Linked DNA regions of Oryctolagus cuniculus. The protein of the gene in region 1 purifies or fractionates together with the protein of each later gene. This does not show direct contact. Links are inferred from orthologs where the notes say so. Each region holds a gene or a part of one and is shown in the gene's direction. Other genes may lie near its edges.

Evidence for each region.
Region 2: the proteins of BCAP31 (region 1) and CYB5A purify together in Homo sapiens (co-immunoprecipitation; 4 studies listed by BioGRID and IntAct, with this or other methods). This does not show direct contact. The link is inferred for Oryctolagus cuniculus from reciprocal best matches to the Homo sapiens genes BCAP31 and CYB5A.

What each region holds. Positions count from the first base shown.
Region 1 is NC_091453.1:132,081,417-132,085,220, reverse strand, and holds part of BCAP31 (B-cell receptor-associated protein 31), read left to right. Parts: intron 1-939; coding exon 940-1,040; intron 1,041-3,804. UniProt on the Homo sapiens protein: Functions as a chaperone protein. Is one of the most abundant endoplasmic reticulum (ER) proteins.
Region 2 is NC_091441.1:4,464,312-4,468,544, forward strand, and holds the start of CYB5A (cytochrome b5), read left to right. Parts: upstream 1-1,140; 5' UTR 1,141-1,328; coding exon 1,329-1,457; intron 1,458-4,233.

The sequences.
Region 1 (3,804 bases):
GGCGTCCCAAGGGGTGCCTTAACTACTGTACCAAATGGTTAGCTTCTTCAGATATTTTTCAAAACTTCTAAAGTGAGAAATATAGGCCACTAATCTGAGCCACAAGAAGATGTGCAGCGATTCCTGAGGAATATTTTTGCCCAAAACCAAATCTGCATGCAGTTCAGAGGACCCTCGGAAGTGCAACCTGGGAAGCTGTATGGTACAGGCAACCTGGTTTTTGCATAAAGTAAATTGGAAAAGAAAGAGGGAGAAAGGAAGGGGGATTTAAAGAATAAGAGAGACTTACGGCACTTAACTAATGTCCAAAATAGGACCTCGTTGGGTCTTTTAAAAGAATATTTCTTTTTTTTAAAGGTTTATTTATTTATTTGAAAGGCAGAGTTATAGCGAGAGGGAGAGGGAGGGAGGGAGAGAGAGAGAGAGAGAGAAAGAAACCTTCCGCCTGCTGGTTTACTCCTCACATGGCTGCAACAGCCAGGGCTGAGCCAGGCCAAAGCTAGGAGCTTCATCCAGGTCTCCCGTGTGGGTGCAGGGGCACTTAGGCCATTTTCTACTGCTTCCCAAGGAACATTAGCAGGGAGCTGGATTAGAAGTGGAGCAGCTGGGACTTGAACTGGGTGTCCATATGGGTTGCTAGCAGCAGCTTAACCCGCTGTGTCACAACGCCAGTCCTACAAGACACACATTTTGAGTACTACAAAGGAGAGTACAAATGAAAAGTGGGTTTTCCTCTCTAGAGACCACTAATGTCTAGGCATTCCTATCTGTATACATGCAGCTTTTTTTAAGCACTTTTAAATAGCTACCATACATTGGAGAATTCCAGGTGTCTGAAGCTGACACCATGCCGCGCTCGGGCCATGAGAAGAGTGCAAAGCTGACTCTCTGTGCTGGTCAGGGCCCTGCCCCCCAGGATCATGTGCTTTCCCTTCACAGATGGCAGAAGATTTTCAAGTCTCGCCTGGTGGAGTTGGTCGTGACCTACGGCAACACCTTCTTTGTGGTTCTCATCAGCATTCTCGTGCTCCTGGTCATTGGTGAGTGGGCTGTGTGTGGCCTCTGCTGTTCTGTGCTCTGCCAAGTGGGGCTTCTCGCAGACAGATCAGTGAGGCGCCCCCGTCTTTCTTTTGGGCAAGATGGTGCTGCTGCCAGGCATTTGTGGAGAGAGGTTCCTCCAGCAGGGGTGTGACTATACCAGGCAGTCGTTATCTGCATCCTTATGACAACTGCCTCACATTTCCGAGGTTGCTCCTCAGGTCATTCTAGAAGCAAAGCTAAGACAAGCTAACTGGCTCATGTCTCTGGTCTAAGCAGTACTGCTTTCCAGTCATTTAACCAGCAGCATTCTCCCTCAGTGTCTGAAACAGGTCTTCAAATAAGGGGCTGAGCACCCAAGTAGACAGGGAGCCTTGTGGAAGGAAGTCCTGCCGTGTCTGCTAATGGAAAAGGGCACTGAGCTGACTAGCAGTGTAGCTTGGGGACAAATCCCAGACCTCTCTGGATCTGGGCTGGACTTCAGGTCTTTGCAAGTGCTTCCAGCTCTGCGGTCCTATAAACCTTGGCATTGAGACACACACCTGCAGGGGCTTGAAAGACAAATGGACCAGAGGGCATGCTTGGGTGGGGCTGGAGCCGGTGGTGCTAAGATGTAAGGTGGACATTTCAGGGCAAGGTAGTGGCAGAGTTGTTTGGAGGCAGGAGGAGTCCATAAAACTTGTCTGCCTGTTAGTTGTGCACTGTTTTGCTGTGCTGAGTGATCACTGTGTCCACCTACTCAGACTCCGCAGTGTCAGCTCTGTTGGGACAGGGGTCCTGTCTCATGGTGGTGGTGCTGCTTAGGCTTGGCGTACTCCTCTCCCCCGTCCCGTGTCCTTCGCAGAAATGCAGCGGGGACTGCGGGGGTCAGGGGAGTGTGCAAAGACTGCCTCCCACTCCAGGCCTCCAGCTGCAGCATCAGGCATTTCTCCTTCCTGATGTCTTGAGGCCTGACAGGATATGTTCAGGAAGAACTGCCTCTGAACAGGCCAGGTGCGGCTTGCAGTTCCAGCCACGTAGGATAGTGCCTCGCTGTTCCTGCAATACTTGGCAAGACCCCAAGAGGCCGTTCTTCCCAGTCAGGACTCTTCCCTGAGCAGCTCTGAGCCAGGAGCTCGGGGGGGAGTTGCGTGTTGTCTCTGGGGCTGAGCGCCACGAAAAGCCAGGCTACAGAATTTTTGAACTGTGCCTGTATATTTTTGCTCTTAGGTTCTGATTGGAGGCAAGGACTAGGGAAATGAGGGATTAAGCCAGAGATTATTACCTCAGTGCCTTAGCCTTCCAGTACTGTAACCATCTCTGTTTCCTACCGCAGCTCAATGAGCCAGAGATCCTTTGTAGCTTTGAGTACTTGATAAACCTGTATTCTTTTTTAGGATCAAGGTCCTGCTCAGAAGTTCTAGAGAGACATATGGCTGGAACAGCTGGCTGCTTCCTACCCTGATGTTAAAAAGCAGAATCCAGAGAGAGTCCTCTACAAATAGAAATGGTAGTGAATAGCAAGAGCTAGTTAGTGAAAAGTAGTGGGTGCAACCAGCTGGAGCTACAGCCTGGCCCACCCTTTATGTTCCCTGGGAGAGCCCCAGGACCCATGTACCCAGGAGAAGGCGGTGGATGGGTCTAGGGCGCACCTCCTGGGTATGATGAGGCAGAGCCAGTGCCTCCCAGCCCAGTCTTCTCTTGGCTGTTGACCAAGGTGGGCCTTATGACGATGAGATTCCTCGATGCAGGGGGCAGTGTAAGAAAACAGGACTTTTAATCTTGTTTTCTGATTAGAAAGTAATGCTTAATTGTTTTTGAAAGTTTAGAAATTGAACTTAGACAGTTAAAGTCCCCCATCATCCCATGTCTTACAGGCAGCCATCCCAAATACTTTCTCATGCATTTCCACCGGTGTTCTCTGCTTACATCTCTGTTACCATGTTTACAGTAGTGGGATCATGCACACACGTTTTAGATTGTGCTTTTTTCCCTCTGGTTATAAATTAGACATCGTTGTACAGCAATCTCATTCTTCTTAAAGAGTACATAGTATTCTCATATAGTTGTACCACAATTTAATGCCCTCTTTGTAGATACTCTCACAACATTGCACATTTGTACAAAGGCTTCTGTGGGATAACATCAGAGAGAAGGAGTCACTGAACCTGAGGGTATGAACATCTTGCATTTTATTTTATTTATTTATTTTTTTAATTTTTTGACAGGCAGAGTGGACAGTGAGAGAGAGAGACAGAGAGAAAGGTCTTCCTTTGCCGTTGGTTCACCCTCCAATGGCCGCCGCGGCTGGCGCGCTGCGGCCGGCGCACTGCGCTGATCCGATGGCAGGAGCCAGGAGCCAGGTGCTTTTCCTGGTCTCCCATGGGGTGCAGGGCCCAAGCACCTGGGCCATCCTCCACTGCACTCCCTGGCCACAGCAGAGGGCTGGCCTGGAAGAGGGGCAACCGGGACAGAATCCGGTGCCCCGACCGGGACTAGAACCCAGTGTGCCGGCGCCGCTAGGCGGAGGATTAGCCTAGTGAGCCGCGGCGCCGGCCCGAACATCTTGCATTTTATAACAGGTGTCTTATGTCAGTTAGTGTTCCTGCTTAGAGTATGTGAGGGTGCTTGCTTCATGCTACAGATTTGACAGTAAAGGAAGGTGGATTTTTATGATGCAAGATCAGCTTGAAAACCAAGCCGCCAGGAGAGGTGTTTAGCCTAGCAGTTAAGATGCCAGTATCCCATAGCAGAGTACCTGGATTAGATTCCCGGCTCCAGCCTCTG
Region 2 (4,233 bases), on another chromosome or scaffold:
GGTTTGCAAAGGAAGTGGGTGTGGCTGTAAGTGGGTAGCACCTGGGAGCCCTTGTGGTGCCACAACTGTTCCGACGTAGTGGTAGTGGAGGTAACACAAATCTACGCAAGTCCTAAGTCAGGACAGAACTGTACAGAATGTCAACTTCCTGGTTTTGATCCTGTGCTATAAATTAAGGTGTAACCATTGCAGGATGGGTGTGGGGTGCATGGCACCTCTCTATTACTTTCGCAGCTTCTTGTGAACCTGTGATTCTCTGAGAAGTAAAGGTTAAAGAAAGCACAGGACTTCCAGGCCATCATCTCAGCGTTTTCGTTTGCATTGGTTGGAGTGAAATAAAGCAGCTGTGTATTATGCGTGACTCAAGCCGAGTATCACAGTGCAAACAGTTTACCTTCTTAGCACTACTCAGTCCTTAGAAACATCTCTTAATACCAAAGTGTCACACTTGGGAATGTTTTCCTGGCGAGCACAAGGGGACGCACATGTATTTTTGGAATGCTTTTCTTCCTCCTGGGCTAGGGCTGCCTGCAGGCCCTGCCGACGCTCGGGCAGGAGGGACTCCGTGGTCACCCCGGGGCCAGGCCTTTTGCAGCCCACCACCACTGCGGGAGGGGCCCGCGTGCCCTGTCGAAGGAGCGCTTCTTCCCGCTTCCTCAGGACGCGGGAGCGGACGGCCGGGAGGCGCACACGCTTCCTCAGAGCGGCAGACTCATGCCCTACTTCGTACGGGAAGAATTCAAGTCCCCGGGCGGAGGTCAGGGACGCGACCCCGCGGTCCGCAGCGGGCATTTGGGACGTGTGCTCCGCGGGAAGCCGAGGGGAGGCTCCCGTCCCATCCAGCGTCTCCGCAACGTCTGCGGATGCGGAGGACGACCACTGACGGCCGCCCCTCACCAAACGCCGGCCACTGCGAGCCGAGGTCGCTACCCTCCCCGGGGAGAACCCTGTCCCCCACCGCGCATCTTTCGCCGCCGTCTGCGCAGTCTCAGCGAAGCCCCGCCCGCCCTCCGCGCCCCCCGCGCCCCCCCGCCGCCGGGTGACTGTGAAGGGCAGCTCCCGCAGCCAATCAGAACCTGCGCGTTGGGCGCGGGGCACGCTCGGGCTGGAGCAGAGGGTCGGCCGAGGGCGGAGCCCCTTGAGCGATAAGCTTCCTGGCCAATCCTCGGGGGCCTCGCGGCGCCCGCCCCTCCTCCGCCGCGCCACCGCCCTGTGTCGGGCGCCGGGCCGGGTGCGCGGGGAATGTCCCGGGCGGAGCTGGTTGAGACGCTTGCCCCGCTCCACCCGGTACGGCTGTGAGTGCAGGGCCTGGTCCGCCTCGTGCAGAGATGGCTGCGCAGTCAGACAAAGACGTGAAGTACTACACCCTAGAAGAGATTAAGAAGCACAACCACAGCAAAAGCACCTGGCTGATCCTGCACCACAAGGTGTACGATCTGACCAAATTTCTGGAGGAGGTAAGTTGGGGGGCCGGGGGCCGCGTGGCCGGGCTTGGGGGGCTCCCTGTGTCGGCGCCGCACGCCCCGCGGGAGCTGCACCCCTGGTCTGCACAGCTGAGCGCGCTCACCTTGGACGCACCGCTGTCCCGGCTCTGCACCCCTGGGCGGGCGTCTCGGGGAGCCCTGCCCACGGCCGCGCACCTGGGGACGCGCCGAGGACCCTCGCCTGCGTTCCTGCCGCGGGAGCCCCTGTAGCCCCCCGCCCCCCAGTCCTGCCTTGCTGCCAGGTGCTGAGCTGCCCTGCTGTGAGTAGGGTGAGAAGATCCGCTCTGTGCTCGAGTTGGGCTGCGCGGGGTCTCCGCTTTGGTGGGCTTCTCCCTCCCGCGAGCCGCTGGGGACAGCGCGCCGGGGTCCGGGCCGCGCTCCCTGCGCGAGCCGCGCCCGGTGCAGCTTGGCGGCGAGCACGGGCCTGCGGCTTGCTGAAGCCCAGGAAGAGGCCAGGGACCGGGAGTCAAAGTTCGGCGGGTGGGACCCGGGCCTCGTAAAGCAACTTGGCATGCCTGCAAGGGAGAACACTCCCTGTGGTCAGACGTGTTGTTTTTTATGAGATTATCCTTGTCACTGCCCACTCCGAGCGGTGCTTGTCCCTGACCATCTCTGGGACCGCATCACTCTGGGGGAGTTCGAGTCATGAATCTACAGGAAGAATGAGGGACCCCCGGCGCGGGCGCTCCCTTTCCCTGGCTGGCTCTCCAGGTGCCAGGTGCAGCCAGGTCTCCCACGTGGGTGCCAGGAGCCCAGTGACATCGCTGCTGCCTCCCAGGGTCTGTGCCTGTGGGCAGCTGGTGTCGGATGACTGGGTTCGGGACCAGGCCCTCCATGTGGGATGCTCACCGCCCAGCGGTAAATCTTAGGCAGCACTGACCCCCCCCCCCCCCCCCCCCCCGCTGCTTTTACTTCTCCCCAGCTTCCTCCTTTTCCCTTCCTTTGATGGGACCAGCAGTGTTGATTGCAGACCGACCTTGGGCGCAGAAGTGGGCCGTTCTCCTGACTCTCTCCCCTCGCCTTCCTGTCTTTCCCCTTTTGATCAGTAGACTCCAGCAGTCGCAGGGAGTCTTTGCGCGATAAGGAAAGCCCGTGTGTCTTCCCTGCATGACCTCGGCGTGGAAGGTTTTGTTCTTTGTGGCTCTGCAGAGCGTCGAGTTGTTGAGGGCTAGCAGCCTCCTCTGCTCTGAATCCGCCCCTCGCCCCGCGGCCCGGCGTCTCCCCTTCCTTCGAGTACCACGGCCGTCCCTGCACGCCCGCGTCCCTGTGGAGAGATCAGCCAAGGTCCTGCCTGCCACCTGCACTCTGTGCTCAGAGTTCATGTTTGTACAACGGGAGAGTGATGACAGTGCTCACTTCACAGTGCTCCCGGGAGAATCAAACCAAACAACCGCTAGTCAGTCACCCGCCAGGAGGGCTTTGATTCATTTCTAACCCGCTCCCGTGGTAGGGAGGGGTCTGGGCTGGGCGACATGTGCAGCTCGGCGTTTCGGGCGAGTTTCTGGGTAAAGGTGTAAGTGTGGCAGGTGATGTTGAAACAGGAGAGAAGGACACAGGTTGGAGTTCAGCTGTTGTGCAATGTGAGCTCTGCCCTCCTAAACTAAAGCTGTTTTGTTCAGGAGGAAGGGTAGGAACCTGAGAAGGAAGCTGGGCTTGTTATTAATGACGGGAGAAAGAGCAGCAGGTGTTGGGTTCCTGCCTAATACTTGCTTGGAGGCAAGATTATAAGCCTTATTGCCTGCATTTTTTTTTAGATTTATTTTATTTATTTGAAAGTCAGAGTTACACAGAGAGGAGAGGCAGAGAGGGGGGGGGGTCTTCCATTTGTTGGTTCACTCCCCAGATGGCCACAACGGCCGGAGCTGCACCAATCAGGAGCTAGGAGCTTCTTCCAGGTCTCCCACGTGGGTGCAGGGGCCCAAGGACCTGGGCCATCTTCTACTGCTTTCCCAGGCCACAGCAGAGAGCTGGATCAGAAGAGGAGCGGCCGGGACTAGAACCGGCGCCCATATGGGATGCTGGAGCTTCAGGCCAGGGCTTTAACCTGCTGTGCCACAGTGCCAGCCCCCGCCTACATATATTTTTAAAGGATTTATGTATTTATTTTACAGGCAGAAAGGGAGAGAGGCAGGAAGGGAGGGAGAGCCAGGGAGAGAGACAGATACCTTCCATCCACTGGTTCACTCACCAAATGACTACCACAGCTGGGGCTGGTCCCGCTGGAACCAGGAGTCTGGGACTCCATCTGGGTCTCTTTCATGAGGGTAGCAGTGGCCAAGTCACTTGGGTCTGTCTTTGCTGCTTTCTCAGGTGCGATAACAGAGATCTGGATCAGAAGTGGAGCAGCCAGGACTCAAATCAACACTCCCATTTGGGATGTTGGTGTCACAAGCAGTAGCTTAAGCCACTGTGCCACAGTGCCAGCCCCACCGTATATTCTGAGCTATACGTTTTGTCAGTCCTGAGTTCTAGTTTTTGAGTTTATATGTGTGAAATTGAATCTTGTCATGTGTGATTTTATTATGACCAGGCTTCGTGGCGCTGGATTCTGTCCCGGTTGCTCCTCTTCCAGTCCAGCTCTCTGCTGTGGCCCGGGAAGGCAGTGGAGGATGGCCCAAGAGCTTGGGCCCTGTGCCCGCATCGGAGACCAGGAGGAGACGCCTGGCTCCTGGCTTTGGATCGGCACAGCGCACCGGCTGTAGCGGTCATCTGAGTGGTGAACCAATGGAAGGAAAGGAAGACCTTTCTC